3 linked regions of the Lonchura striata genome follow. The protein of the gene in region 2 interacts with the protein of the main gene of each other region in a pairwise test. Links are inferred from orthologs where the notes say so. Each region holds a gene or a part of one and is shown on either strand. Other genes may lie near its edges.

Evidence for each region.
Region 1: the proteins of COPS5 (region 2) and PPP1CC interact in a two-hybrid assay, tested with the Homo sapiens proteins (2 studies listed by BioGRID and IntAct). The link is inferred for Lonchura striata from reciprocal best matches to the Homo sapiens genes COPS5 and PPP1CC.
Region 3: the proteins of COPS5 (region 2) and protein S100-A12-like interact in a two-hybrid assay, tested with the Homo sapiens proteins (2 studies listed by BioGRID). The link is inferred for Lonchura striata from reciprocal best matches to the Homo sapiens genes COPS5 and S100A7.

The regions. Positions count from the first base shown.
Region 1 is NC_134620.1:11,977,700-11,988,789, reverse strand, and holds the start of PPP1CC (serine/threonine-protein phosphatase PP1-gamma catalytic subunit), read right to left. Parts: upstream 4,941-11,090; 5' UTR 4,831-4,940; coding exon 4,776-4,830; intron 1-4,775. UniProt on the Homo sapiens protein: Protein phosphatase that associates with over 200 regulatory proteins to form highly specific holoenzymes which dephosphorylate hundreds of biological targets.
Region 2 is NC_134603.1:34,858,699-34,869,877, reverse strand, and holds the start of COPS5 (COP9 signalosome complex subunit 5), read right to left. Parts: upstream 5,289-11,179; 5' UTR 5,256-5,288; coding exon 5,098-5,255; intron 4,995-5,097; coding exon 4,760-4,994; intron 2,352-4,759; coding exon 2,223-2,351; intron 1,758-2,222; coding exon 1,692-1,757; intron 285-1,691; coding exon 199-284; intron 1-198. Other genes in the region: CSPP1 (centrosome and spindle pole-associated protein 1), read left to right, coding at 10,838-10,939. UniProt on the Homo sapiens protein: Probable protease subunit of the COP9 signalosome complex (CSN), a complex involved in various cellular and developmental processes.
Region 3 is NC_134635.1:3,173,326-3,182,249, reverse strand, and holds protein S100-A12-like, read right to left. Parts: upstream 3,251-8,924; coding exon 3,098-3,250; intron 2,684-3,097; coding exon 2,441-2,683; downstream 1-2,440. Other genes in the region: protein S100-A4-like, read right to left, coding at 6,873-7,037, 7,119-7,256.

The DNA.
Region 1 (11,090 bases), on a different chromosome or scaffold from region 2:
GTGTGAGAATCAAGTTCTCCTACAGAAAATGTTTTAAGAAAAATAGTCTATCTACAGGTCAGTTCATTTTTTCTGGCTTATTAAACAAGTCTCTCAGTTTCACCATATTTTATGTTAAGACGTCTGCAATCATAGTGACATTTCCAAAAATACTGCAGGTTGGTTTTAATCTAGTTTTTAGCAGTTCCCAATGACAGTTTCACAGTCAGTTTTGCACCATAGGCACAAAGGGAATAAATAACTTGAAAGTGGTTGATGTAAAAAAGGTTTTACTTTACTGCAGGCACTACCAGCTTTGATCAGATCTCTTCAAATTCGAAACTGAAATGGAAAAGCATCTCCTCAGTGCACAAGGCTCTGAAAAGTTCTCATCTGCTTTCTAGTATGTCCAAAGATCACAGCAGTGTTATCAAATGGAAGGTTCTGCACGATTACAAGTTTTTCACCTTGTAACGTATTTCCACACTGCAGAAAGGTGAGGAGTAACAGCTACTCACACTGCTCACAAACAGAGGGAACAAATTCCTCCACTTCTCTGACTGGGCAACAGGCAAAGAATTTCACAGACTTATTTGAATCCATGGCATTGATAAGAATCTAATTCGTAATTCTTTAGAATTATGAGTTTCTATTTCCTATTCATAGCAACTGCTGCACCACAGCAGGAAACAATTAACATCAAGCTACACAAACTAGGGAGAATGATATGGTTTGAAATCAAAAAGTGTTGCTTGTCTATGAGAAACTTCATCACAGCATCCCAACTCATTCATGAGTAAATGTGACATTTCAGATTAACATCTCTGAGAATCACTCTTACCCCAGTATATGCAGCTAAAGGACAAGCAACCCTGAAGACCCAATTAATGCTGTACTTAGCAGAAAGGTGAAAAAAATTTATAGGACTGCATTTGTGAGAAAACATCTTCTCTGTGGTGAGCAAAATCTTATCCACTTTAATAAGTAGATGATAATCTTTCCCCATTTAAAGCAAATTAAGAGAGAATATCTCCTTGACATCTCTACAACAGGCTTTACTGGGAATAGAAATCTGTGGGTGTATAAACAGAAATGTTTAAGATTCAAGAGTATTTTTGCAGATTTTAGAGGACTAGCCAGGATTTCAGTTTTCAGAATGGCTACCACCATTGTAGCCTCATGTGGCTTTATCCAAAGTAGCCTCCATTCATTATTCAATTCTCCCTTAACAGAGCCTGCAGAGGATGCAGCACAGGAGAGATCTGCAGAAACACGTTCCAACTTGGGTGATTTAGGTATGCTGAAATTGGTATTTTACACATTATTTATTGTTACCATGGTAAGAATAATACTCTTCAACCCTGTTTTCTAAATAGGTGACTGTGAGCTCCAAAGCAGACCCTGCTTATCTGCAGAAGCTGCCAGCACACGAGATGAAGGAAATGGATAAGGGGCTCAAGTTATAGGAAGCCCATCTGACATGACACAGAAAGGAAGCCACGCTCACACTCCGGGAGTCTCAGGATTTGTCACTCATTCTTCACTGAGGCAAGCAGGAATTCTGCCATTTCCTGGAACCCTTCCCAAGACCACACAGGTGCCATTGATTTTTTTATCTTACAAGGAGTTTTTTAGCATCTTCTTGTCTGCTGGTATTTTTAATTTTTGACTCAGCACACACAGCTGCAGTTGCTGCCTTCAGTACCCCCTGCTAGAAGGGGCAAAATTTGCTCTCATATTTGACCCCTCTTAATCCTCAGGAAGGTGAATTAGTTCCATCAATATCTGAGCCTTTATCTAATATCAAGGATACTTAAAAACATTTCAATACTCAGTGCAGGATACTGTTACTTACTACACTTTCCAAGTCTTATACTTGTGAATATTACTGTTACCAGACCTGGCAAAGTCAGACAAGCTGCACTCAGGAAATTGCTCCTAGCAGGACACAACCCTCATCAGTAAAGAACGGAAAAAAATACAAATTCGGTTACAGAAAAATAAAAATAATAATAATAAAAAAACACACCAGTATTTTCAATGTTTTCCCTGAATGGCTTTCCCAGGTTGAGAACAATGCTACTGAAAAATGGTGGTGGGTTTTTTTTTTTTTTTTGGTGACATCTCAATGCCAAATGGTTCTGTACTATAAACAATTGAAGCAAGGAAGACTCTTCAAATATTTACCTTAGAATGAGAAGCTGAAGTATATATTTCCAGGCCTTTTAAAGAAAAAGATAATAATTTCACCTAAATAGCCTAATGTGGGTGGGAGAACATCCCTATTTGAGGGAAAAGTAGGAATAATGTCAGTTGAGCAGAGGAGTCAGGATAGAAAGCAACTAAAATCCTTCACAAATACATTATTAATACCCTTTATTAAGGACAAAAGCAAGAATAATTTATTATTCACCCTTCACTCTACCTCAACCATTAGACTCAATTCACTGCTTCTTCTAACAGGGCAATGCTAAGGACCATGATAAAACAAATACCTAACTGTACCTGCCCACTGATTTCCAGTATTTCATTAGTGCTGGGGTTTGTTACCCTTAGAAAGGGCTAAACCCCCTGCTCATACTCTTTAAATTTTAGTACCAAAATCACCTAAAGTTAGCTGCTATAAAAATGTGTAAGTATTTAAAGTTTAAAGAGAGCTATAATGAAATACCAAATAGCTCTAAAATTACAGCTTGCACAAGGATTTGGGCAATTCAGTTTGTGAGCTGATTATTAAAGCAGATTTTGCAGTGTTTTTATGCCTGAGTATGATTTTAATCTGTGTGTAGCCTTGTCTAAAGGGGTATTGACACAGAGCTCACGGGCACACCACACTTTGTGTAACTAACATTATGCACTTGTTCTACCAGAACTGCACTGAAAACCAATAATTTCTTTGATCTAAATCTAAAATGCAGTGTGTGCTGAAATGCAGCCATGTTTTAGGAAAAAGAAGTATAAAAATGACACTCACAAAGGTCAGTCATTACTCTCTGTCTGGCAAAGACATTTAGAACAGACATTTAATAATCAACAAATAAAGCACTAGCACAGGTTACTAACACCAGTAATTGTTTTAAATATTGAAAGACAATCATTGCCTCAAGGCATCCAAAATCCCAGCTGCTGTATTAATAAAGGGAAAAAAATTAATTTCAGTTCTGGCAGCTGATGCAACCTCAGGTAACATCTGCAATTGCACGAAGCACCTCTTAAAATATGTCAGTAAACCTTTTGAAGCCTGATTCATGAATTCTTATCTGCTCCAACCATCTAATGTTGATATAAACTGAGCAAGAGCAGAACACATTGACATAGTACGTCTTACTACCTTTTGAAACTTTAAACAGAGAAATCACTTGCATTTCTTTCTAGGAAAGGTCTAAGCCATGCTTTTAAAAATTAAAGTTCACACTTTGGAAATATTGCATTAATTACAGTAAGTGAAATCAGTAAGAACTATAACTAATGAGTGCAATTCAACTGAGCATGTATTAATATGTCACCAAACATATGACATACGAGACCTGACATTTACAAGTTGTATTACTGGATTTTCAGGAAAATCCTGGTCTAACTTTATGAAGGGAAGTCTTTAAATAATTGAAACCAGGGCGGTTTAAATTGGTAACAGGCAAAACCCAAACCGGATCAGAGGAAAAACCCCATTTACTTTTACTTATTCAGTAATCCCATAATTCATCTACAGGATTTTTTAACTCCAATTTTCTAGAGTAGAATTTCTGTTCCTCTGCCTGACCTTTTGCTATCTAAGCATTACACAAGCAAAATCCTGTAAGAAGGAAAAGTGTGCAAGAAAAGACATTTCTTCATCATTTTTCTCAGCACCATCTCAGCTGACTGTGTGCCAAATGGTAAAAAGTTAAATCCCTGACCAAGCTTTTCAAGAGTAAGTCCAGATGAGATGCTGCCCTGGCACACGTGAAGTGAGGCTGGATCAGCATAGCTTCTTTCTTTGAATAATTATGCTTTTCCTTGATGCCTGGAAGAGAATTTGTCATTGGCAGCTTCTCAGTCTTTTGCCCCAAAATCAGTCGATCCCAGCCCAGTGCTGATCCCTGCAAGCGAAGGGATGATGCTGGAGACACCCCCTGCAACTTCCAGGTTTTCCCTTGATTTACAAACTCCCAGGCAACTCTTTTCATCCCAAAGCACCAACAATAGCAGACAATAAGCCCTTTTTCAGACTGTCTGAAACACCAAACCCCAACCCTCTATTCACACCTAAAATCCCACCATATGTTACGAATTAAGAGCCAAAATCCTGTGGCAGCTTTAATGCAAGCAGCTAATCAAAGCTAAAGCCAGCATACACTGAAACCCACGGCAGTCTCCTCCCGACTTGCTGAAAAGCTGCCTCAACACTCTTTAAACAAGCCGAGTCTTATTTCCAGAGCCCCGCCACTACCCAGCCATGCACTGATCCCATGTGTATGCGTGAAAGGCAAGAGAACACCCCAGGCTTTTTCAAAGCCCTTCCTACGAAATACTACTAGATTAAGCATCCCCTCATTCCACCACAGGACTAGATTAAGCATCCCCTTAGAACCGCAAGGGACGAGAAGGGGGCAGCCGGCTGGTCCCAGCATTGCACCGGGGGATCAAAAGGCAGAAACGCCTCGGAAACCCACACGGGCTGAGGGGAAAGTTGGGGCGAGCCAGGCGGGGAGGCGGCGACCCCAGGCAGACAAAGCGCCTCTCGCCCCTCCATTTTAGTGCCCCCTCAGACCTGCCGGGCGCATCGCCCCCCCAACCGCGCCGTCCCCGACCCTCACCCTCCAGCAGCCGTTGGATGATGCTGTCGATGTTGAGCTTGTCTATATCCGCCATCGCCTCTCAGCGGCCGGGCGGAGCCCTCCCCGCCGCTCCGCTCGCGGCTTGGCCGGCCCGACTGCGCTCCTCGTTCTGTCTCGTTTTTGCCCTTTTCCTGCTCTGCGCCTCGCCTCGCTCCCTCCGCTCCCCCCCCCGCCCCCTCAGCACAGAGCCAGCGCTGAACAAAATGGCCGCCGTCCCCTCAGCGGGCTCGCCTGGCGCACGGATACGAACGAGCGCGACGCGGCCCGTCGGAAACCCTTCATAGGCCGGGCGGGAAGAGCGGGCGCGGTGATGCGGCCCGGTTCGCGGGATCCTGCCGCTCCCGGGACGGGAAGTAGTGCGGCGGTGCCGCCTCCCGGTGTCGCGACAGAATCAGTGGTGGCGGTCGCAGGGTGCCAGGATCCATTAGGATGGAAAAGAGCTGCGAGATCGTCGAGTCCAGCCTATAACCGAACAGCATTATGTCACCTAGACCATGTCACCGAGGAGTGTAACATTCAGTCCTTCCCTGAGGGACAGGGACTCTGCCACGTCCCTGTGCAGCCCGTTCCAATGTCTGATCACCTTTTTCTGTGGAGAAAGGTCTGCACCTTGTGGCGTTCTTGCAGACTGGGATCTGCAGAGGACATCAAGGAGCCACCATGGCCCTCACATCATCCCCTCACTGCCCCTCACACCCACATGTGGGGGAGATGGTGGCTTCAGGTGGGATTTTGGGGCACTTCAGGGTTGGGGGAGCACAGCCGTGATGTCCTTCACCTCACACTGAGCCACCTCCACCTCACGGGTTGAGGCAAGGTGTCCTGAGCAGCTCCTCAGCTCCTGAGCACTTTCAGACACGTGGCTCTGCACCTGCAAATCCTTCAAGAAACAAACGTACAGCACTTTCAAGTCCTTGCAGATGAAGGAATGAAGCTCCTCGTTCAAAAGCATCTCGCTGTTTATTTCACACTTTTATTATTTTATTCTATATGTAGCTACAGCTTGGTTACAAGCACTTAAATGAGGTTTAAACTGGATGGTGTTTGTCCAGGAGACAGGCTGTGCGAGCCTTCCCCACCGTTCAGTCTGTACCTCGAGTTGAATATTGTTTTATTGCTTTATTTACTCCTACTTTAATTTGCGGGGCTGGCTGTGTCGAGCTCTTTCCTCGTCCCCTCCCTTCCCTGGGTGGATTGCTCCCACTATCCTGTCGGGTTCCTCCTTGCCAGCAGTTATACAATTTTCATTGCAGCTCATTGCCGTGGTGGGGCCGGAGCAGAGTTCGGATTCGTGCGGGTGATAAAGCAAAGGACTTGCAGTCTCAGCACACCTCAGGTCTGCGGGAGGAAGGAGATAAGAGGATGCAGAGTCTACCTGAAACACAGGCTCAGGCCCCTTGCAAGAGCAGCCTCAACACTCCACTTCCCCGAGCGAACACTTATCGTATGGAGCACGCCCAAGCTGATATGCTAATCTTAGTCACGCTGGTGTAAACCCAAAGTAACCCCATGGAAAACAATAGAGTTACTTCAGATTTGCTTCAACGTGACAGCCTTTGCAGATTTACATCTATTTTTGTGCTGCACCTTCTCGGGGAAGGGCCCCTCCGGCTCTTGCACCGAATACTTTCTTTCTCTTTCAAATCCTTCCTAATTCTGCAGGGCGAGTTGTTCTCTTGGACTTAGCTGAACTATTTAACAAGGAAAATTGGTCCTGTGTTTCCAGAGGAACCTTCCTGGCCTTGTTTTCATTTCTGTAAATATCTTCATCTCATCTCACCCTTCAGCTCTTATCTCCTCTCCAGGGACAAGTTCTCTGGGGATCTGAGCACCTTTAGTGGGTGTTGAGTACTTTTCACTCCTGTTAACTCTCTGGGAAATGGGATGGAGGGGAAGAGTTTAGCAACCCAGGTCAACCCAGACAACGTACTTGGGAATTCACCTGGAAACTCCATACTTCTGAAAGGACAGAACTGGCCCTTCAAAACAAGGTCAGGGCAAAGAATCTGTCTCACTTGCTGAACCATATCAGGCAAGGTCCAGAGCACTGATAATTCTTGTAAAAAGAGGTGTAGCCAGGAGGAAAGAAGAGAAATGACAGATAAAGGTGAATCTGTAAAGGCCTCGTCATCACCTTTATAACCAACTCGCCTTGTTCCAGCTCTAAATCTCAACAGCAGCTGCCAATGCTTGGTGTCCTGTTCGGAGCAGGCTGGATTTTTGCACAGGGTCTTTCTCATTATCATAAAAAAAAAGGACCCTTCCTTATCAGTAAACTCCATGGAGAGCCAGAGTTATATTAAAATGCCACTACAAAATTATCTTTTTAATAAGGTAGCTTTTCTCTGCAGGAAATAACCAGCCTCGCCCCACACCCTGATTAGAAAAGGGACCCAACCAAGGCATTATAAGTATCATGAAGCTGTTTTGTTCTCTGGTGTTGCTCACAACAATGATTTATTTCTAGAGAAGGAACAGATTTATTTCCAGAGAGGGAACAGCCAGGGAAATCCTTTTGTCCTTAAATTTTGCACATGGGCTTGAAGCACTCCATAATTTTGAAGCTCACGCTTCATATACCAACAACTCCACCCCTTCTTTCAATTTGTCTACAATTCTTTTCCTACTTTCTTACTAGCAAAATACATGGTGATTAACAATTTGTTCAGTACAAATCATTCACAGCTCATGGCTCTGAGACCTCTGGGTCTTTTCCTCCTTTCCCCCCTTTAAATTCCACAAATCACCACTTTGGTCTCATTCCTTGGAAACCTCTGTGTAAAACACCTTTCCCCAGTGATTTGTCCTTGCCCTCTCTTGCAAGTGTTGCTTTATTATTGTATTGTTGCTCATAATCTGGTTAAGTTTAAGAATATATAAATTATACATATAATATCCACCTACATATAGAGAAAAATAAGATTTCAGTATTGTTCTGTACATATATATAAATATATACTGTGAGTACAATATAATACATATTTACACCATGTACACAAACATACATGTGTATATATGTACAAAAAATAATTACATTTCCCTGATTTATCCCTGTTTGTAGGCGGATCCTGAGAAATGTGAAGCACCCACACTTTTAGATTACATATTTGCTAAGCCCATGAAATTCAGTGTGTTTGTGTACATTTCAAACAAAGATCTACACGGGCTCTCCAAACACTGCTAAAACAAGAATGGGTGACTTGTAGGTCAGGTGTTATTTTTCCTAACTCGCTCCACAGCCAGGATTCCAATGTTTTCATAACTCCTACTGTTTGCACCCAGCTTGCCTGGCGTTACAATTGAGATAAAGCCTCATGCACACTCTTGCTTTTCATTCCTAAAATATTTTGCTAACCCCCAAATTTCAGCAGGGTTTTGAGGGTGGGTGGCGCTGATTTGTCAGACAAAAGAGAAGCAGCCGGAGCGAGCTGTGAGGCTGATCTGGAGATGGAAGGGTCTGTGTCCTGCTGCAAGGGGAGCTGATGACGCACAGGCAGGAGTTTTCTTAGTGTCGTGTTTTATTTACAAAACGCGCGGTGCCACGATCTCCCTCCAGCAACAAAACTTGTGGATCCTGCGCGTTCCTGTGCGGAACCCGGCGAGGAGCTCGGGGCTGGCAGCTGCTCCTGAGCTTCCAGCACAGCCTTGGGGCTCTCCAAGGACTCAAACCTTGTGCAGAAATGGAATGAGACCTCATTCCCAGGCAGCCAGCAGCAGGATTCCTGCTGGAGACTTCCTTACACTCTTCTCAAGGGTGTACCCTGCATAACAGAGCCAGGCCTTGATTTCCACCAAGCTGATGGTTTCCCAATCTTAACAACCGGTCTCCATCTGAAACCATCCCCCAAAAGCTGTCAACATCAATGGCAAGTCCATCTCAAGCTTGTTAAAATCCCATTTTTTGGATACCAAAGTTAAAAAAATTCAGCTCAGAAAATTTTGAGACAGGTAATTTTGACATGGGAGAAATATGACTTGCCATTCCTCTCCTCCTAGTGGGTTTTTAAAAATTTATTTATTAGAAGTTGTTGTACTTCATGGGTTTCTGGTGAAAGGTACTTTCAAATGGAAAAATATTCTATTGGTGAATTTTGGAAGGTTCATGCTCACAAAAATACTATCAATAAAATCCTTCTCATTTAAAAATATCATAAGTCCCTTTTTTTTTCCCAATATAGCAGTGACCACTATAGGATTTTTCCTGCTGCAGCACTTTGGATTAGGAAAACCCAGCATATTCCATACTCCTGATGAATTTCTCAGTTGAATCTGACTTTTAAAGCTCTGAGATGAGGCACAAGAGCCATTTTGATGTGTCCTGTCCATGGCTGAGCATCCTTGGGCAAAGCATGGCCATCATCTGCTCTGCTGCTTGGAGAAAGAGGAGAAAGAGCTCCAAAGGAGGCTTTGTCCTGCTTTAAGTGGAGAGCAGCCGTGGCGGATCAGTTGACGCCGCTTTGGCACCGAGAGGAGCCCTGTCTTCCCCTCTTCCTCAGGAATCCCTTTGCTCGGCCAAAGGGAGTTGCATAACCAGCTGGAAAGATCTTGTGGGCTTCCACAGGGGCTCAGCTGAGCTGTTCTCAGAGGGGAAAAGGAAAAAACACAGACAGCAGCCAGTGCTGAACACCCAGCAAAGGGGGTTTTTGCCCCTTTTCCGGCTAGTTTGTGGTGGGGTGAGCACAACTTCCCCTTCGCAGCGTCAGCAACTCTCAGCACAGCTCACTTGGATGTAGTGGCACAGGGGGATGTGAGCAGACCATGCAAAACAAGTAGAAGCCACTCAAAGCCCCACTTTGCTGCTCCATGTGGGACATTTCTGTGTGGCTGCAGCCTCACGTGGCTCGAAGGCAGCGCATCGTGGATGTTCCTCATTGCGCCGGCCAGAGACGCACGTTTGCAGCCTGGGACACGGCCTCTGATCTCAGCCCAGCTTCATGGCTGAGCTGCTTCTCTAATTAAGACCCATGAAAAAGCAGCACCAGGAGGGCTGTCAGGGGAGCAGGAAAGTGGAAATAGGATGAAAGTCGGGTGATTTGCTATTGGTCAAACAGCTGCTGTGCCTCTGCCAGTGGGAGACACACCGCTGAACACGAGATGCAGGAGCAAGAAAGAGACTTTCCATGCACCCCAGAGGTCCTTAATTCATTCATTCATGCCTTTTCCCATGGAAATGCAGGCGAAATAAGTGGCAAATCCCATCTGCAGGTGCCTGGAGGCTGATGCATCAAAGCCTTCCCAGGGACAGGTAACAAGTGTCCAGAGGGCAGTTGCTTTGCTGATCCAGATTTTGTTTTCCCTTACACTCCTGAAATTCCAGAACAATCCCATTGGCAGCTCTTGGACACCTGGGATTTCTGCTCATATGCAGCATTTGGAAACATGATTGATTGTAGAGGTATCTGCCAGGTATTCTTATTTCTTTGTTTCTATTCTCACCTCCTCCTTGCTGCTCTCTGCTCGCCAGCCTGGCAGATTTTCAGGAGCTGGGCTGCTCTTACGTAACACTGCGCCAAGATTGGTGTGAAAGGATTTGGAGGGCTCTGTGGCTGGAATCACCTTTGATCCCTGGATTCTCTTCTGGTATGTCCATGCATTTTGGGCACACCTCTTTGAGCTGCTGGGGCATCTCTGCCCTGGCATCCCCTTGGAACCCATCCTCTGCCACCAGCATCGCTCAGATTCTGGTGTCCAGGCCATTCTGTGAGTGCTGCCTTGGTCACAGCTGTCTTGTGGTGGCAGATGTGGTCCCATGCCAGCTCTCCTGGGCACACAGGAGCAGCTTCTCCCAGGTCTCCAAGAGAGCGTGACCAGAATTCAAGCCTGTGTAATTAGCAGTAATTAGCCAATTGAGGGAGCGTGTATAAAACAGATTAAACTCACTGAAATCCCCTGCTGAAGTTGAGCTGAGCTGTGTTCTTGGCTCAAAAACCTGCACCCCCATCCAGAGGATGCCTTAAGCATCTTGAGGAAACCCTCTTTCTCCTCTTTCTCCTGGGAGGGTCTTTCCTGCAGGCCATGGGCAGCTTCATCCAAGCAAACATCTGGAACGCCGTGGACATCGGGGCTTAGCCCAGCAGCAGAGAGGGAAAACTTGGGATGGACCCAAGGGAAAGGTGGGCAAGGCTCTTCGTGGCACCCACCACGGTGCTTTGGGTGCTGCCTTACAGCAAACACAGCCCTGGGAGCTGCAGTCCCATCTCAGGGCTGCAGCAGAGGCAGATCCAAAGGGATGAAGCCAGGCTCTCTCCCACGCCGCTCTCCAGCCTGGTGCCTTTGCTGATGAATCACAAGTGT
Region 2 (11,179 bases):
TTTATCTTTGCAGAGTTCTTCCTTAAAATGTCTCCTGATAAATGCCAGTAACCCTTTTTTTCACAAAAACAAAAGCGCTAAAGCAACAGTGAACTTTAAAATTTGAAACACTACACGAAACTTACTTTTCCATAATGAATCAGTAACCTAAATACACACACACAAAAACAAAGTTAGTAAGTTTTTTTTATTACTTACTGTTTACAGTGTACACCAAAGTCTTCTATTTTATTGAGTGGAATAGTCTGGTATTCAGAGGGACCTTCATCCGGAGGTTTATAGCCCTAAAATTTTAACAAAAGGCAAAACTTACACAGTAATTCTGAGACTTTTCAAAATGCCTAAACTTACAAAGCTTCTATTTTATGCAATTCTAGTGTTTTTTTTTTTTTTTTTTTTTTTTGGCTAGAGAAAATTACATTTCCTCTGGTAGTCTGAAATTTGAACTTTTCTTGGATCTCAGGTTTACATTTGGCTTTACTAGCTGTACTAGTCATTACATTTGTAGGTTTATCAAAAGCAAATCAGTGGTCATAGTTGAGTTTTTTCAAATGACAAGCTATGATTAAATAATTTCTTAGATCAAAGAAAGGGCACGCTTCTTCTTAGACAGTATTTCTCTACCTGTTATTGGAAATTTTGAGGGAAGATTTGAAAAAGAGGGAAGGAACATCCATGGATATGCCTTAGAGACACCTAAAACTTTCAATTACTTGTTTAGTCAAGATGGTGCCGTTCACAGCTACTGACTAAGCAAGAACTGCCTGCAGTCAACTGTGATAACTCCCTAAAAATATACTTCTCATGTGCATTTTCCAGATGTGATTTGGTTTTCAGGTACAGAATTCTTCTTCTTGTTCAATTTATGAAGTAATTTTGCTCACAGAAGTGAATGTTCTCCTGAATCACAAACTGTTCTAAGATAACTTAAGTTTTTGTCAACACAAAAATAATGCCTGGACCTCTCACAATCATTTATGTTAATTATAAAATTTAATTTTTATTAAGCAATTAATTTTGGTAATTGTTTTACTGGATGGCTGTCTGAAGTTCTTGATGAGTCATTCATAACTGGGTATTTAAAAGATACACCCGAACTTCACTGGACTGAAATTAAATAGCACAGCCAGAAATATATTAGAGGATGCATTTGGAGACCTACATCTCCAATAGTGATGTGATTTCTTAGTTTTAAGCCTAACCCATATTGTTTAATTAACTTTTTTGTACATTAGTTTGTGAAGATTCATAGTATTTATTTGAAAAAGTTAAGCAGGTAGTTTTGAACTTTCCTCTTCTAAAATGAAAAGCAAATTATGACATATTAAACATCCTATTAACATTTGGTTTTAGGTCCAAAAAAAATACCAGAGAAGAACTAACATAAAACAATTTTGATGCACACTACCTACAACTATATCCATTAAAAGACAGCTATAGGGAGCTACATAATTTTAGGACAGCTCCACAATCTGGACAGTGTAATTGATTTAACACTGCCAAAACTCTATGAAAACCAAACCTGAAGTCGACCTTTATAAACATAATCCAATATCCAAAGGCATGCAGTAACCAGCGTACAGGCACATCTTCCTTTGGAATGAACATTCAGTACAGCACAGCAGACCAAACTCAGACAATCATATAAAGACAGTTCAGTATTCACACACTAGATAATTTTAACTATTTACCTTAGGATATGTCCTAAAAGCACCAAGATTTACTTTTCCTGCAGATATTGTTCTTGTTGGATCAATCTGCAGAAATACAGGTAATACTCATTACATATATTTTATTACAGGCTTAAATTAAGTTTATAGCAATTTTATTTCAGTAATTCATGCAAACTGTATTAGTTCTGTCATAAACAGTACTTTTTCTTTTGGTATGAGACTCTCTAAAAAGATGTGAATATCAATAGCCTTCAGTGAATTATTTTTTCAAACTAATTTTCCTTATTTCCTAAATACTTAAAACCCCCTTATGCTTAAGAACTATACCATAACTGAAACAATGAAGTGAAAATGGTCTAGGCAAGCAACACTACTGGTTTGGCCAGTATTTGGCCAGCAAAGCAGGAGCAGCACCAGTTTAAAGTGTGGCTCCAACACCTCCATAATACAAAGTACACACTACTAAAATGCTAACAGACAGAAATCCAAAAATTATTCCCCTCAACACGATGTGCTGTGCAGGGTTATCACCCACCAGCCAGTACTTACAACCACTGCTACGAAGGGCTCCTGAAATTGCTGGTTAAGCATCTGGGTACTGACGTCGATCCCCGAGAGCCAGCAGCCGTAGCCGGGGTGACTGTGGTACCAGCCGATGGCATTTTCCAGGCGTCCGACCTAAGAAAGAGCAGGGAAGGGAAACAGCCCCAGCGTCCAGCTCCATTCCCAAAGCACCGCCTGCCCTCCAGCGGCACTTCCAGCACACTGCAAGGCGCGGCAGGATAAACGGGAATTTCCACGCGTGGGGAAATATTCCCTAGAAACCGTACAATGAGTGGCACTGGCATTCTCTCCTACAGCTGCTGCCACAGAACAAAGGCCTTCGAGGAGCCTGGGGCTCCTTCTTCAGTGACAGCTGGAGTACAGAAGAGGTTCCACACAGCTGGATGGTGAGCTGCAGCTGCTCAGCAGGGCTGAGAAATTTCTTAGCGATATAACACAAGTATATATAACCTCATATAACGTAGGGAACGTCAGTAGAGAATTAATTTTTTAGTATGGTAACATATCTCACAGGCACATACTATGAGATCAGTGGTAGGTTTAAAAAATTACTTCAAAGGTATGCTTTCAAACACCAGAAATGACAGAAATTATTGCCTGGAGACCGGTTTAAAAGCCAAATTATGAGTTTTGGACAACTTTTTCTCAGATAAAACCTCAAAATAGGAGTTTCCAAATAATACAGCTGGCTATCTCTAAAAATACTGGAAGAGAAAGGAGCAAAGCCAAAAAAACCGAGGAGAATAAACACCCATTGAACCTCATTTTTGTAATCCTCTCTAAGGAACTGTTTACTGGCTGCTCTGGTAATGAGACAAAACACATGAATTGCCTACTGTATTTTTTAACTGGTGAAGAATATTTGTATTTTCTTTACAGCTTGCATGACAAACACCAACAAAACACTAAAGAACGTGTGTTATTTTTCAAAGCCAAATGATACATCTAAACTACATTAAGGCCAGATCCTGTCCATGGAAAAGCAACTAACTGGAACAGCAGCATCTATAAAGCATTTCTATAGGAGGATGCATATTAACTAGCACCTAATGATAAAAAGAAATATTCCAGGAACAAGTGCTTGCCAAAATCAAATATGAAACAGCCAGCATGAAAGCTCTGCCACAGCACCAGGAAAGTAGAGTTCTTTTATTTGCACACAAGTTCATTTTCAAAATTGTGAAACCAACTACAGACAAAACTGAACAACATAAACAATGGGGAAATAAACATTTCCTATCACATAAGAACTCCTACAGAAACCTGGACTGTTTTAAACATAAGACAAGCTGTTTATAATTTTAAGCTATATACTTACCACTTTGAAATTCAGTATTTCTACCTAAGAATGGGATTCTATGAATATATCTTTATTTAAAGATAGCATGACTGTATCTTTAGGCAAAGACATCTCTTCAAGTTACCTACTTTTTGCAACAAGAGTTCTAGAACATAATTATCTCTGCATTATGTTTACTGTTTGCTGATGTTATGATTCAGCCTAATGCACATCCATTTCCATATCTTCAATTCTATTTATGGCTATGAACATAAGTCCAACTCTCCAAAAGAACCCAAATACTCCTCTGTTATATCCACTTAGTATGTAAAGGGCTTCTAATTTTAGCTGGTTTAAAAATCAATGCGTCAACTGGGTATCAAAACTCTTTGAGCTTGGAGAGTTAAAGTTATTTCAACTCTTATTTCTAGCATAGAATTGCCCTGTATTGGAAGAAGCACATCAGGAAGTGCTCTGATGTTCTGTGCTGGTTTACATATCAGCCACAGAGCACAGTTATACTTCTGTTATCTTTCTGCACATGAGAACTGCACTGTATAGTCAGCTTTAATATGACATGGCTCTTTGAATAGAAAGTGACAAAGACGAAAAACAGACAAGCAAGTTCATCTAAATTTCCAAATGATAAATATGAATAATTAATTTTCACTGAAACTTACTTATTCCTTCACTGACATTTTCTTCACAAACGTCTTTTTTAATGGAATAGAGCAGCATACCATACACTAAGATCTCAGAAGGTAAGAATGAATGTCATAATTCTGATCTATAAATACTAAGTAGTCCAACACACACATATATTTAATTCTGCATACTGTTTTTAGAAAGAAGTATCGGTTGTTTTAGAAACACACTATGTCGCACAACCAGCAGCCATAAGAACACTTCCTCAGCAATGAAAGTAATTTTCAAAGGGAAGGAGAATGCACTACTTTCCAACGAATCATTAAATTGGAAAAGACCTCCAAGATCATCGTGTCCAACCTCTGATGACCTACTGTAAGTCAGAGAAATATGTATGTGAAAATGTTTACAGGCCCCTGCGTTCCGTGCTGCTGACAGTTCTCACTGCCATGTTTGAGGAGAGACAGGACAACCGGGCAGGCACTTCCTCTCTGGGGGAGGGAGGAAGCCTGGAACGCCCCAGGTATGTTCCTGAAGCTCACAAGAGGCACAGGATCTCCACGGGGGGCGGTCAGAACCCCCTGCCACCTGTCCTTACCTGCTTGGCGTTCTCGATGTAGGCAGCCATGTACTCGTAGGCGGCGGCCTGCGCGTTGACGCGGGTCTCGGTGCCCTCCACGGGCAGGGCGAAGCTGTCCATGATGATCATCGTCTCCCCGTCCACCTTGCCCAGCATGAGCCCCATCACCTCCAGATTGCCGCCGGACCTGGCGTGCATCACCATCTTCAGCAGCGCCAGCGCAGAGATCTTGCAGTACTTGAAGTAATGGTGGCTGCAACAAGGCAGAGGCCGCGGAAGGGAAGGCAGAGCCATCCCGTCAGGCCGCTCCTCACCGCCCAAACCGCCCGCCCGCCCTGCCGCCCCCTGCCACTCACTCCTTGGTCCAGGGCTTGGCCGCCAGGATCTCCTGCTGCTGCTTGCGGTCGTACTTGTAGATCTCGTCGATGCTCTGCGCCTCCTGCATGTTGTTCGCCAGCTCCCACGTCTTCTGCGCCATCCCGCTCCCGGAGGCGCCGCTGCCCGCCGCCGCCATGGCCCGGCCGCGCTCCCGGCCGCGCACCGCCGCCCCGGGCCGCCGGCGGAACCAAGCGCGGGCCGGGGGCACCTCGCAGGGTGGTACGGTCCGCGCAGGCCCGGCCGCGCGGCGCTGCGCCCCCTGCGGCCGCGCCCGGCTCTGCACGCGGCCGCGCCCGGCGCGCTCGCCCCGTGAACCGGCACCGCAAAAACGCGACCCCGGCCGGGCGGAGGCCTTTCTATTATATCCATTTATTTATTGACTTGTGCTTCTTAAATTACTGTGACCAGTTCGGGGCCACTCAGTACGAGAGAGACACGAACATCTGGAGAGGGTCCAGCGGAGAGTAAACAAAGATGTTTAAGGGACGGGAGCGTCTCTTTCGCGAGGAAAGGCTGAGGGATCTGGGCCTGTTCAGCCTCGAGACGACCGAGAAGCGGCATTATCAATGTATATAAGTGTCTAAAGTGGAAGACGTCAAGAGGATGCAGCCGCGCTCTGCTGGGAGGTGTCAAGCAATAGGACAAGAGGCAAGAAAACTGTTGCATAGGAAATTCGCCCTGAAGATGAGGAAGAACTGCTTTCCTGTGCAGGTGACCGACCACTGGAACAGATTGCCCAGAAAGGTTGTGGAGTGTCCCTCGCTGGAGAGACTCAGGAACGGTGTGGATGCAATCCTGCGCCACGCGCTGTAGGGTGGCCCTGCCGGAGCGGGGAGGTTGGACCAGGTGACCCGCTGCGCTCCTTCGTACGCCGCCCCAGCCCGGGGAGCCCGCCCGTGCCGCCTCCCCTCCGCTCCTTTCCCCGCCCGGGAGGAGCGGCAGCCGGGTCGCGCCGCCCTCCGGGGCAGCGGGGGGCGCTGCCGGCGCCGCCCGCCGCGTTCCGGCCGGCAGGAACGCGCGGGGCGCGGACGGAGCCGTGGCTGCCGGTACCGGTGAGCGGGCGGGGGCGGCGCGGCGCCCGGGGACTCTGCTCGCAGCCCCGCCGGGGGCTTCCGTCGCCAGCATCGCTCACAGCCCGGAGCGGGCGGCGGCGGGCGCGAAGGGCGTTCGCTGGGCGGCGGGACGGGGCGGGGGCGCACCGCTGGGTCTGGGGGTCCCCGTGGGGGCTCCCGGCGGGGCTCGGCTCGGCTCGGCTCGGCCGGGCTGGTCCCGGCCCTCCGGTGGGGCCGCTTGTGCGGCCGTTGCCTGACAACGGCGCCGCCATCCGGAAAGGGGCCGAGCCCCGAGTGTCGCATCTCCGCCCCGCAGCTGCTCCCCGGCGCGTAGAAGCCTCCGGGAGTGCCCCAGAGGTGCTGCCGAGGACGGAGGTGGGGAGGCGAGCGCTGCAGGCCGGGGTAGAGGCGCTTGCCCGAGCTGTCGCTCTCGCAGAAATAAACCTGATCTCCTGGGTCTGAAAGTTTTTCGAAATTAGTGTATTTTTGGATCAAATTACGTACTCTAAAAAATAGATAAGCCCTGTAGTGGAGGGAAAGTAACTCGCCAAACTTGTTGCTTCGTTGTTCAGAGGATAGACTGCCTTCTCAGTTGCGAAAAAATCGCATTGCTTTAGTCAAGAGTTTATTATTTATCAACGGCCAGACCCTTGAATCTGTGCTTTTCCGCAATGAATTTTAAAGAAAAGTACAGGGAGCGCGTCTCTGGCAGCAGTAGCTTATTCTAAGTGCCATTCACAAGGGTACAGAAGCAGTCAGTATTAATTCCTCAGGAAGTTCGGGTTAAACTTTTAACAGTGTTTCTTAGTGACACAATTAGTGGCTGTATAGCTTGTAAGTACAATTACTAAACTTGGCATATAGTCGCTCTTTTAAAGCATTTCCCTCCTTGCCACCTGTGCTGCAGTTCACGTGGATAAGAAATTGCCTTTTTGCCAGTGCTCCTGCTGATATTTCAATATTATGGTGGCATAGAAGAGATGAAATCTACTTGCACGTGCTGATTTTAAATTTTGTGTGTTTTCCTGAACAATTAGGAGGGGAAAGGAAAGATTAAAATGGGATACAGTAAACATTGCTTTAGGTGATAAAGTCGTTACAAAATGCATGGTAAATATAGTGCATACAATACATATGGACATAGATGTTTTAGATACCTTGAATAGAAAGACATACATGGTTAACTCTCTTTGGGCATAGATCCAATAAAAATCTCCTGTTCAAACTTGACTTAGTGTTCTTGAATATCTGCATGCTTTCTATTGCTTGGTATGTTTGCTTAAGTTGAAGTCTACCTAGGTGACTCTAATTACTCAGAGTTGCTTTTGTGCAAACTCTGAATAAGGAAAAGAGGCTATGAAAATCTAAAATCTTCTTGAAAGAAAAAGTATGTAAAAATGTTTTTATGGGACATTTTCAGACAGTACTTGAATATAAAAGAGCAGTATGATTAATGGAATTTGACTTCGTATAATGCATTATTTTGGGAATACAAATTATCTTTCTTTAGCAAGAGCTAAAGAAAGGCTGATAGCTACATCCTATCAAAAATTTGTTAGAAATACTTTTACAAAATACTCTCTTTTCCAGAAAGCTAGAGAAATATGCTTACACCTCATAATTTTGAGGGCATAGGGATACATTTTTAAGTGTTTACAGCATATTCTGACTTTCCTTTCATGCTCTGTACATGCCCATGGAGTGATGTGTCCCAGCTTGGTTTTGAATCTGCTAGTTTAACGAGTAATTGCAAGGATCTAGACATGCACAAAAAGAATTAAAATGTATTGCTAAACTGAAAATAAATGATTTTGCTCTGAATTGGTGCTATAGTGTCAGGCTGTGCCTCAGTGTGTTTGTGCAGTCATGGGAAGTCAGTATGAAGTTGACATTTCCCTGTGAGTTCGGTGCTGTCGTTTCCAAGATAGTTTACTGCACTCCTGAGGGCTGTGGTAGCCCTTGTCTCATATAGAAATGTGTTCTTTCTTTATTTTTGTTGTGATTAGTCATGATCTCTTCACATGGTACAGTAGATGATAAAACTGACTAATATTCAGTAGGGTATTTGCTTGCATGCTGGTATATTTTTGCAACTTAACAGTGTATGTGTCACATTGAAGCTTGTCACCCTTTTGCTTAGACTAACTTAAGAAATTTTTCTTTTTTGCTATAATGTATTATTTTTGCTTATCTCATAGAGTTTGCATTCATGAGTATTTTAAGAAGATCAACACAGGTAGAAGGAAGTTAAGACATAAAATGTCTAGATATTTATGTGAAGAATTTGGTAAGAATTTTCCAGGCAATTGTGCTGTATTAAAGGTAGCTGAATCAACAGTGCTGTAGCATTAGTCAGCTTAGTATTCTCCAAGGCCTGGAGTTGCCAGCTTTCTTCACACCAGTCGAATTCCCTGTGTAGTTTAACTGTAACTGTTTTGTCTTTGGCTTTTAACTTACTATATTGCTCTTTTGAGCAATATGATAGGAGTGCAGAATGCTGCAGTATTAATTGTACTCCTCATGCTAGTTAGAAAATACACTAAAAGACTCCTTTCCTTATGCCAGCTCTCAGAGTAAGTTTGGTACCATTCCCATACAGTGATTTGGAAACAGTGCTGGAGTTTATAAATGCTGTTGTAAATAGAGATAGGAAATACAGATGTTACTGTCAGTGAGCTTTTGGAAAGGCTTCTCACAGTGCCTCCTACATGTGGTTATTTTCCTCTTGATGACTGTGTAGCATTGGGTAGGTGGTGAAACCACCTTCTTTTAGTATGACAAGTTGTTTTACCCCTTCAGAACATTTTATCATTATTGTTATGTAACCTAATAGGCTAAATAAAATTTACCATGCCTAGGAACTTATCCTCTTTCAGATTTCTTTTATCCTTTATCAGTGTGCAAAACTAATGAGATTAAAGATTTAGGACAAATCAGATGGGGGAGATTTATTTTTGGCATTGATTGTCCTGTATTATCACTAGGAATTGTAAATGGGCTGGCCTAGTTCTGCCTCCTTTGTAAAAATACTATAATTTTATATTATGAATAAAAAAGATAAAAAGTTCAAAGGATTACATTCTAAGGAATACATCAAACAAATGTATTCTGTAAATTAAATTAGCATGCACTTACTTCACTTTATCATAGAGAATTTGTGCATTTTCTTATTTCCATTTTGCTTCTACTGAGAATTTATCTCAGTTTCTCTGGACACATTATTTTTATGTTTACCTATGTGCTACCTTATTATCTTTGAGCTGGTGGTTTGTTTTTTTTTTGTTGCTGTTTTTAAGTTCATCAGTCCTCTTCCTGAAACTGCTTTCTAATATAGTTTTATCACTGGCCTCTTGTTTACTTCATACTTCACTTCTAAAGATAGTGAATTAGCCTGAAAAAAACCTGCCATGTTAATTAAGATAGTGGATGTGATGGGATTTTTCAGGAACCTGCATAAGCAATCCTTTTGCTTAAGCTGCATGGAGTGTTTTGAGGTTCATAACTTTCTTAGTTTTGTGCTTCTTTTAAGTGTGGAATCTAAGTTGAGTTTTTTCTTTTTTTTTTTTTTTTTTGCCAGTAAGCTTGGTATTGTAAAACTCCTTCTCCAGTGGAGTTAGTGAAAATGCTGGGGAGAGATTAGGATGAGTAGGCTTGTATGCAGTCATTCTTGCTGGTTTGTCTTTCTTTTTCTATAAGTAGTTGGTATGCTTTGCAGTATTTTTAGTTCTGATACGACTAGTCTAACTCAACTTCAGTACAATTCCATTGACATGAACTTGATTGACTTCAGTTTTTATTATGAGGTTATTGAAAGCAGCAATATACACTAAATTCCGCAAATCAGGTGCTAAAATTTCTGCTCGAAGGACTTCCAGTTTAATATGCAAGGTACACAACTAGTGGAAGAGAGGTAATTAGCTCTTCCTCACTACATGTTTTCTTACAGATCAGTGTCTAATTCTCAGTCAGTGCTTCCTCATATCCCTGATTTTGGGATTATTTTAGACCTATAGCTATTCTTATTGCGTCTGCTATTTTAGTGGTACAGAAAGTAGGTACTGTTGGCTCCAACCCCAGAAGCACTATGCTTGTATTTTGTGAGCTTTTTTTATTTTTTTAGTTTATGTTTTGTTTTGAGGAAGCTTGATTATTTTTAAGACTTCTCATGATTGTAAGTTAAGCACAGAATTAATTGTGTGATTTGGTCCTTATTTTAGGCTGTACAGGTATTTTGAACTTTTTGTACTTTTTTTCTAATGATTCCTTCATCCTGTTTACTTTTATGTGTTTTCTAATTTTGATTTTGTAGTTCATAAGGAGTAAGCTTGTGCTAATGTGTAGTGAAGAGTCACTGGTAGACTTGCAGTTAAAACAAGCAACTCCCAAACACTTCAACCATGTTAGGAAAAAAGATTAGATAAGTATCTCCAGTCTTGTAATCTGGAATCTTTTAATTTTCTCTCTGGTGAAGCATCAAGTAGTCTCCTCCATGGGTGGGTTTTGCAAGTCAGTTGTTTTGTTGACCCAGCAAATATCTTAAGGCTTGTGGTTCTGCGGGAGAAATTTAATTATTTTTAACTGCTGTCTTAAGCAAGAGCAATTGTGCTTTAAATTTTTGAGGTTCTAATGTAAATGCCACGTTCTGTGTCTTTTCTGTAACCTAGAAATGATGGCGGATGATTTAGAAAAATTTATTGAGGATCAGAAGGCCAAGTTAGCACAAGATAAGGCAGAACTTGAAAATGATCCACCTTACATGGAAATGAGGGTAAGAGTATTAAAAAGCTTTCCTGAATTTAAATGCTTCTGTTGCCAAAGTCTTGATTGAAGCTTGTCTTTACTGTGCTCTTAAAACTGTATTTGTTGTTAAAGAATATATTGAAGATCTATCTATTCCAAGTAATTTCCAACTTGAGTACTTCATATCTTTTTGTAGATGTTTAAAAACCTGTTTGCCACTAGGCATACACAGTAAGATTTGTGTTTTGCAAGTGAGAAGAGTTTTGTA
Region 3 (8,924 bases), on a different chromosome or scaffold from region 2:
AAACTGGCCACAAAACCAGGAGAAAACCCAAGGCCAGGGTCTTTTCTGGCTGGTGCAGGAACTGCCACATGTTGCCACATGCCAAATGTCACCTCTTGTCACGCGTGTCAGGGACAAGAATGAGCAGACAATGAGAAGATTTAAAATCAGACAATGAGGAAATCTAAAATCAGACAATGAGAAGATTTAAAAGCAGACAATGGGTAGGAGGAGCAGGGAAGGACCAGGAGAACTGGAGGTGCCCGTTCCTGTTTGAGGATGCTCCTGTATCCCCAGGGCATTGCACAGATTTATTCCGGTATCCCTGACTCACTGCATCGCTCCTTTTGTTTCCCGGCCCCGCTCCTTGCGGAGTCTCAGCCATCCCAAATAAGGATCCCAAATTGGAGTGTCACCCATCCCAAATTGGAGTGTCACCCATCCCAAACTGGGATCCCAAATTGGAGCATCACCCATCCCAAACTACATTGTTACCAATCCCAAACTGGAGTGTCACCCATCCCCAATTGGGATCCTAAATTGGAGTGTCACCCATCCCAAATTGGAGTGTCACCCATCTCAAATTGAGTGTCACCCATCCCAAACTGGGATCCCAAATTGGAGCATCACCCATCCCAAACTACATTGTTACCAATCCCAAACTGGAGTGTCACCCATCCCCAATTGGGATCCTAAATTGGAGTGTCACCCATCCCAAATTGGAGTGTCACCCATCCCAAATTGGAGTGTCACCCATCCCAAACTGGGATCCCAAATTGGAGCATCACCCATCCCAAACTACATTGTTACCAATCCCAAATTGGAGTGTCACCCATCCCCAGTTAGGATCCCAAATTGGAGTGTCACCCATCCCCAAATGGGATCCCAAATTCGAGTGTCACCCATCCCCAAATGGGATCCCAAATTGGAGTGTCACCCATCCCCAGTTAGGATCCCAAATTGGAGTGTCATCCATCCCAAATTGGAGTGTCACCTATCCCCAGTTAGGATCCCAAATTCGAGTGTCACCCATCCCCAAATGGGATCCCAAATTGGAGTGTCACCAATGTCAAACTGGAGGGTGATCCATCCCAAATTGCGATCCCATACTGGAATGTCACTCACCCCAAACTGCAGCATCATCGATCTCAAATTTGAGTGTCAGCAATCCTGAACTGGAGTGACACCCATACCAAACTGGGATCCCAAACTGGAGTGACACCCATCCCAAACTGCATCCTCGTCCCCCAGCTGGCAGGGAGAGCATCTGGTGCTCTGGTGCAGTTCCAAATTTCCCCATTTTTCCCCTAAAACCTGTGGGGGAGCAGCTGGCGATGCCCATCCCTGCAAGGGCAGCAATGCCCGAGTGACACGGGGTTGGCAGTGAGTGACATTTCCTCCGAGGGACAAGGGTGGCTCCCCAAGTTCAGAGCTGCCCTGTGTCACCGAGGAACCACCCAAATGCCCCTGGTTTCACCCGGGACAGGCTCCTGGTTTGGCTGATGTTGGAGCCTCCTGAGCCGGGGGTTCCCCCACACTGATGGGTCCAGGAGCTCTTCTCCCCTCCTGCTTCAGCCCCCAGGAGCCCACGGTGGCTTTTGGGTGTGTGGTGACCTGGGGGATGTGTCCCAAACCATGAAATGTTTGACTCATTCTGCAGAGCGGCCGCTCCTCCGAGCAGCTCGCAGGACGGAGCCCCCGGAGCCCCTCGGCCTCGTTCTTTGCTGGGGCTGCTGGGTTGTTTTGGGGGGGTCACAAAAACATCTCACAGGCGCCTGGGAAGTGGCAGTCCAGGAATGCAGCACCCCCAGGATGTGGCACCCTCAGGATCTGGTGTCCCTGGGCTGTGACACACCCAGGATGTGGCACCCTCGGGATCTGGTGTCCCTGGGCTGTGACACCCCCAGGATGTGGCACCCTCGGGATCTGGTGTCCCTGGGCTGTGACACCCCCAGGATGTGGCACCCTCGGGATCTGGTGTCCCTGGGCTGTGACACACCCAGGATGTGGCACCCCCAGGATGTGGCACCCCCAGGATGTGGCACCCCCAGTTCCAGGGCTGCGTGTTGGCAGAGACCTGAGGAAGGACCCCCCCATCCCAGCTGTGTTTCACCTCTGGCACCTGCTGGAGCTCCACACTGGGATCTGACACCCTCCAGGAGCCCCCTCGGCCTGTGCTGCCCACTGGGACCCCCCAAAACCTTGTCCTGACCCCCACTCTCTGCCCAGACCAGTGCCCCCCCGTGCCACTCTCCCCTTCCCGTTGCTTTTCCCGTTCAATCTGGGTTTCAGCCCCTCCCCAGGACACGGCACACGGATGGGTTTGGTGCTCAAAGGAAGAGATTTTATTTCAATGCCACGAAGTAGAAGCAGGTGACAAAGGTTTGGTCACAGGCAAGGGCTGAGGCTCCTGGGGGGACGCAGAGTCCCTGGCTCGGCCACCGTGGGCGATGTTCCCGTCTCAGTGACGGTGGCCAGGCCCATGCCCGTGCCCGTGCCCGTGCCCGTGGTCGTGGTCGTGCCCGTGGTCGTGCCCATGCCCGTGGCCATGGTCACCACCAGGGTCCTTGTGGGACCTGTTGTGGGCATCGATGGCCACGAGGCTCAGCGTGGTCAGGAACTCGGTGAACTTGAGGCGCCCGTCGTGGTTGGCGTCGGCTTTGGTGAAGAGCTGCTGGATGTAGCTGTCCGTGCCGGTGTTGGGCTGTGGGGGAGCACGGGCAGCTCGGGGTCACCCTGCCCGTCCCCAGCTGTGGCACGAGGCTCACCCAGCCAGGGCTGGACCCCAAAAACCCTTCCTCGCTTTGGGAAGCTCCCAGGATAAAGTTCTGGGGTGGCCTGCCGGGGGGAGTCGCCACCCCTGGAGGAGTTTAAACGAAGCCTGGATGTGGCACTGGGTGCCAGGGTTTGGTTGAGCTGTTGGGGCTGGGTTGGACTCGATCCTCTTGAAGTCTCTTCCAACCCAGCGACTCTGTGAATTCTGTGGCCCGCCCCCATCCCCAAGGATCCCTGGAAGTGCCCAAGGATGAGCACCCCAATCCAGCGGGAGGTGCCCAACATTCCTGGGAATGAGAGGATCCCCCAACCCCTTCCCCACCCCACGGCTCCGGGCTCTCACCGGCACCGTGTTCTTCAGGAAAGGCTCGGCCGTCTCCTTGAGCAGCTTGGAGAACTCGTTCTTGCTCAGGTAGTCATCCATGGGGTGCCGCATCGCGTACCGGTGGTAGACGTTGACGACGCATTCCAGCGCCAGCTCCAGGTTGGTTTTCATCCTGCTGGGAAGGGACAAAGAGCAAAACATCCAAACCGTGTCCCAAAGCGTGAAATGTTTGACTCGTTCCGCAGAGCGGCCAAACGGAACCCGAGGACCGGCGCCGGCCGCTCGTCCCGCAGCACCTGGGAGGAGCTGCTCACCTTCGGAGGAGGTCTGGGCTCTGCAGAGGGACGAGAGGAGCAGGAGGATCGGGTGATGCTGAGCTGGGGATGGCACCTTTTATACCATCCCGGAGCTGCCAGCCGTGCCAGCCTCGGCTCCCGTCAGGGCAGTCACCCCGGGAATTGTGCAAGGCAGCGCAGCACGCCCAGGTGAGGATTTCAGGTTCCTCGCCCCATCCAGGAACTGTTATCGAGGGAGGGGAAGCCCCAAACTCGTCGGACAAAACAAGGAAACACCAAAAATTACAGCGATGGTGCAGGAGATTTTCTGGAACGTTCCCCAAGTGTTCGATGTAGATGATTGAAGAGGAACTTTTCTGGGTGGGGGTCTCCAGTGGGTTTTACCTGTGGGAATGTAGTTTGTCACCAATTTTTGGTGAATTTGGCTGCTGGACAGGTCTCGGGTTAATCCCTTTTCTGACTCACAGACGGGGCCAACTGAGAGACATTTGAAAAACTTCAATTTCATTTCATCAGGTTTTGAAAATTCTCTCCCAATTCACTTCCCAGGTGCCAGGGGTGGGCTGCACATCCCACCCCTGCAGGAGGACATTCCCCCTGGATGCAGGGAGTCACCCCCGGGCACAGCCCTGCTGCGTGGGAGGTGAACTGGGAGAGAATTTTCAAAGCCTGAAAATTCTCTTGGGAGGTGCCACTTCCCGGCAGCGGGAATTGCTGCCCGAGGATAACCCAGGGCATTGGCAAATGTGCCCACCCCCAGCTGTCCCCCAGGCCTGGGGCCCCCCAGTGCTCCCAGTGGCCCCCCAGTGCTCCCAGTGGCCCCCCAGTGCTCCCAGTAGCCCCCCAGTGCTCCCAGTGGCCAGAATGAGCTGCAGAGCCCCACGTGCCTGGAGGGGGCTGGTGAGGAGCCCCGTGCTGGTGATGAAGGTTTTTGGGAAGTGATGATGACAACGGCGGTGAGACATCTCCCCGCCAGCCTCGTGATCCCGGAGCACCGGGAACCGGTGCCAGAAAAGCCCAAAATTGCAAAAGAGGGAGACAAAGGGACGGGTTTTGGGACGGGGATGGGCGCATCCTCAACGGGAAGGGGACACGCGTGGGCTGGGCAGAGGGACACGGGTGACACGACAAGGACACGGGTGACATGACAAGGACATGGGTGGCACCACAGGGACACGGGTTCAGGCAGGCCTGGGGATGGCAGAGGGTGTGGCTGGGGCACCTGGGGAGGGGGACAAGGACAGGTGAGTGCCATGGGGACAGGAGGGGGATCCCTGTGAGCGGAGAGGGTGGATCCCTGTGAGCAGGATGAATTTAGGGTGAATCCCTGACAGTGGGGATGAATTCAGGGTGGATCTCTGTGAGGGGAGAGGGTGTGGGGTGGATCTCTGCGAGGAGGGATGAATTTAGGGTGAATCCCTGACAGTGGGGATGAATTCAGGGTGGATCCCTGTGAGGGGAGAGGGTGTGGGGTGGATCTCTGTGAGGAGGGATGAATTTAGGGTGGATCTCTGCGAGGAGGGATGAATTTAGGATGAATCCCTGACAGTGGGCATGAATTCAGGGTGGATCCCTGTGAGGGGAGAGGGTGTGGGGTGGATCTCTGCGAGGAGGGATGAATTTAGGGTGGATCTCTGTGAGGAGGGATGAATTTAGGGTGAATCCCTGACAGTGGGGATGAATTCAGGGTGGATCTCTGTGAGGGGAGAGGGTGTGGGGTGGATCTCTGTGAGGAGGGATGAATTTAGGGTGGATCTCTGCGAGGAGGGATGAATTTAGGATGAATCCCTGACAGTGGGCATGAATTCAGGGTGGATCTCTGTGAGGGGAGAGGGTGTGGGGTGGATCTCTGCAAGGAGGGATGAATTTAGGATGAATCCCTGACAGTGGGCATGAATTCAGGGTGGATCTCTGTGAGGGGAGAGGGTGTGGGGTGGATCTCTACGAGGAGGGATGAATTCAGGGTGGATCTCACGAGGAGGGATGAATTCAGGGTGGATCCCTTTGGGCAGCATCATTCCACCTACAGACAGCCACAGGTGAGGTCCAGGATTTTGGGGTTCCCCCTCACCTGCCGTGGGTGTGGGGGTGGTGCAGCCCCGTGCTCTGGGGGTTCTCTGACTCTGGAGGGATGGAGATATTTTTTTCCCCAAATCTTAAAATCCCAGGATCTCGGACACCTCCAGGGGTGGCCACTGCAACCCTCCCTGGGCAGCGCCTTCCAAGGCCTGGCCGCCCTTTCCAGGAGGAATTTTCCAGATATCCACCCCGAGGCTCCCCTGGCACAGCCTGAGGCCGTTCCCGCTCCTCTTTGTCCCTTTGTGGCGCCCAGGAGCTGAGCATGAAGGTGATGGAGGGGGCACAGCCACATCTGGAAGGGGCGTGTGGCACATCTGGAGCCCGGAGCAGGACGAAGCTTTTCATGGCGAGGGGAAAGGGCGCCGGGGGAGGAACGGAGCGGCGGGGCCGGGCCCGGAGCACCGGGAAGCGGCTGCTCCGCACAGCCGCACCCCGGCAGGAACGCGGCCGGTGGGGAGGCGACAATCGCGACAGCCGCGGGGCGACGGAGCCGGGCGGGCGCAGTTCCAGCTCGGAGCCGTGCCCGCATCCCTGCGGGACGTCCGCGGCTCCGGGGAAGGAGGGGCCGGGCAGGGCTGACTCAGCCCCACGGGGCCCCGGGGGAGGTTCGGGAGGCCTCGGGAACGAGGAGTCCACCCCGGACAGGGACGGGGATACAGGGACAGAGGGACAGGGACAGGGACAGGGACAGGGACAGGGACAGGGACAGGGGGACAGGGACAGGGACAGAGGGACAGGGACAGAGGGACAGGGACAGGGATAGAGTGATAGAGGGACAGGGACAAAGGGACAGGGACAGGGGCAGAGCCAGGGACAGGGACAGAGGGACAGGGACAGAGGGACAGGGACAGGGGCAGGGACAGAGGGACAGGGACAGAGGGACAGGAACAGGGGCAGGGACAGGGATAGAGGGATAGAGGGACAGGGACAGAGGGACAGGGGCAGGGACAGGGACGGGGATAGAGGGACAGAGGGACAGGGATAGGAATAGAGGGATAGAGGGACAGGGACAGGGACAGGGACAGGGACAGGGACAGGGACAGGGACAGAGGAACAGGGACAGGGACAAAGGGACAGGGACAGGGGCAGAGCCAGGGGCAGGGGCAGGGACAGGAGAGGGACAGGGGCAGGGACAGGGATAGAGGGATAGAGGGACAGGGACAGGAACAGGGGCAGGGACAGGGACAGGGACAGGGATAGGGACAGGGGCAGGGACAGAGACAGGGACAGGGACAGGGACAGAGCCAGGGGCAAGGGCAGAGCCAAGGGCAGAGCCAGGCACAGCCTCCATCGCCCCCGGCTTCCCCCAGCCCGGGCAGAGAGACCCTGAGACCAGAACGCTTCATTTACAAAGAGATTTATTGAAATGGCATCGGGAGGACATCGGGAGGGTCCCGGGGCGCTGCCGGGCCCTGCCCTCACTTCCTGCGCGGCATCTTGTCGGGCAGGTCCTGGAAGAAATCGTTGCACATCATGGCCATGCAGGCCAGGAAGGTCACGTACTCCTGGAAGTCCACCTCGCTGTCGCTGTTGCAGTCCAGGCTGCTCATCAGCTTCTGTAAACTCTCCTCGCTGGTCTGCTTCTGCCCGGGGAGCAGGGGGGAAAGGGGGGGTTAAACCCGGGCTTGGCACCCCCTGGCAGCCCGCAGCGGCCCGGCACTCACGCTGAAGCTCGGCAGCTCCTTGGTGAGCAGCTCCTTGAGCTCGGCCTTGTTGAGCTTGTACTTGTCGCCCTCGTTGCCCGAGTACTTGTGGAAGGTGGCGACCACCACGGCCAGCGCCTGCTCCAGGGGACACGCCATGGGGACAGCGGCAAGCCTGGCGACACGAGGAGGGGACAGAGGAGTTCGGCGTCCCCGGGCACGGCCGGTCCCGGGGAACGGCCCGTGCCAGGCCCCGGGATGTGCCACGTCCCGGGAGGCGCCGCTCCCCGCCCGGCTCCGGCCGGGCTGGGCAGCCCCGGAACGGGGGGACGGGGCAGGGAAGGGGTTCCGGAGCTTTTCCCAGCCCTCGCCCGTGAAATCCACATTCCCAGCTCGGCACCTGCAGCAGGAACCTCTGCCAGGGCGCCGCAGGTGGGGCAGCCGCGCCTCGCCAACATCTGGAGAACATCTGGAGAGGGAGCAGAGGGGGGAAAGCACTCACCGAGAGCTCAGGCGGGCACGGGAGAGCGGGCAGGGCGGAAGAGGAGCCAGCCTCGGGCCCTGGCATTTATAGCCCCGCCCGGCCACACCCGGCCGGGAGGCAGCGACCGGCCAGGGCTGGGTAAGGAAACAAGGAGGAGAAAGGAAAAAAGGAGGAGAAAGGGAAAAAAAACCCGGCAGCTCCCCCGGCCCGCCCTGCCGAGGAACCGGTTCGGCTTGGGAGGGGCAAAATGAGCCCCTGGGGCTGCCCGGGGACCACCCGGGCCGGGAGAGCCCCCCGGGATCGGGGATGTCCCGGTGGGCACCGGTGCCACCCTGGCAGCATCCCGGGGCTCGGCTCTGGGGCTGCTGCCGAGCCGGGGGTTGTGCCGAGGGGTTTTTTTCCTCTTTTCCAGTCTCCTGGCAGCGATTTGTGTTTCCTAACGGCGAGGGCGGCGCGTCTCCGGGCCCCGTTGTGTAACGGGGCTGCTCCGGTGGCCCGGGCACCGGGAACCGGCCCAGCCCAGCCCGGCAAAGCCCCCGAGCGTCCTGGGCTGGGCTGGACAAAAACGGGGCCGAAGCTGCGGCTGCTCCGCCGCTCACGGGGGTGGGAAATGCCCCAAACCCCAGCTCGGGGGGCGCCTTTAAATTTTGGCAGAAGCAACCCCCGGGGCTGAGCCTCGCCCCCCCCATCAGCGAGTGGGAATTTGGGAGAGTCACTGGCAGGGGCAGGAGCGCCGCGGTTTCTTTATAAAGGGCCTGAGAAGGGGCAGGGGGGAGGTTGGAGCTCCTGGAGGGACCCGAGGGGGCTTGGGGAGAAGTTGGGGGCTTTGGGGAGGAGCTGGGGGGTTTTGGGAGGAGCTGGGGGCTTTGGGGAGGGGTTGGGGGCTTTGGGAGGATCTGGGGGGTTTTGGGAGGAGCTGGGGGGTTTTGGGAGGAGCTGGGGGGTTTCGGAAGGAGCTGGGGGGTTTGGAGAGGAGCTGGGGGCTTTGGGGAGGGGTTGGGGGCTTTGGGAGGATCTGGGGGGTTTTGGGAGGAGCTGGGGGGTTTTGGGAGGAGCTGGGGGCTTTGGGGAGGGGTTGGGGGCTTTGGGAGGATCTGGGGGGTTTTGGGAGGAGCTGGGGGGTTTTGGGGAGGAGCTGGGGGCTTTGGGGATGACCTGGGGGGTTTTGGGAGGAGCTGGGGGGTTTTGGGAGGAGCTGGAGGGGGTTGGGAGGAGCTGGGGGGTTTGGGAAGGAGCTGGGGGGTTTTGGGGGGAGCTGGAGGGGGTTGGGAGGAGCTGGGGGGTTTGGGAAGGAGCTGGGGGGCTTTGGGGAGGAGCTGGGGGGCTTTGGAAGGAGCTGGGGG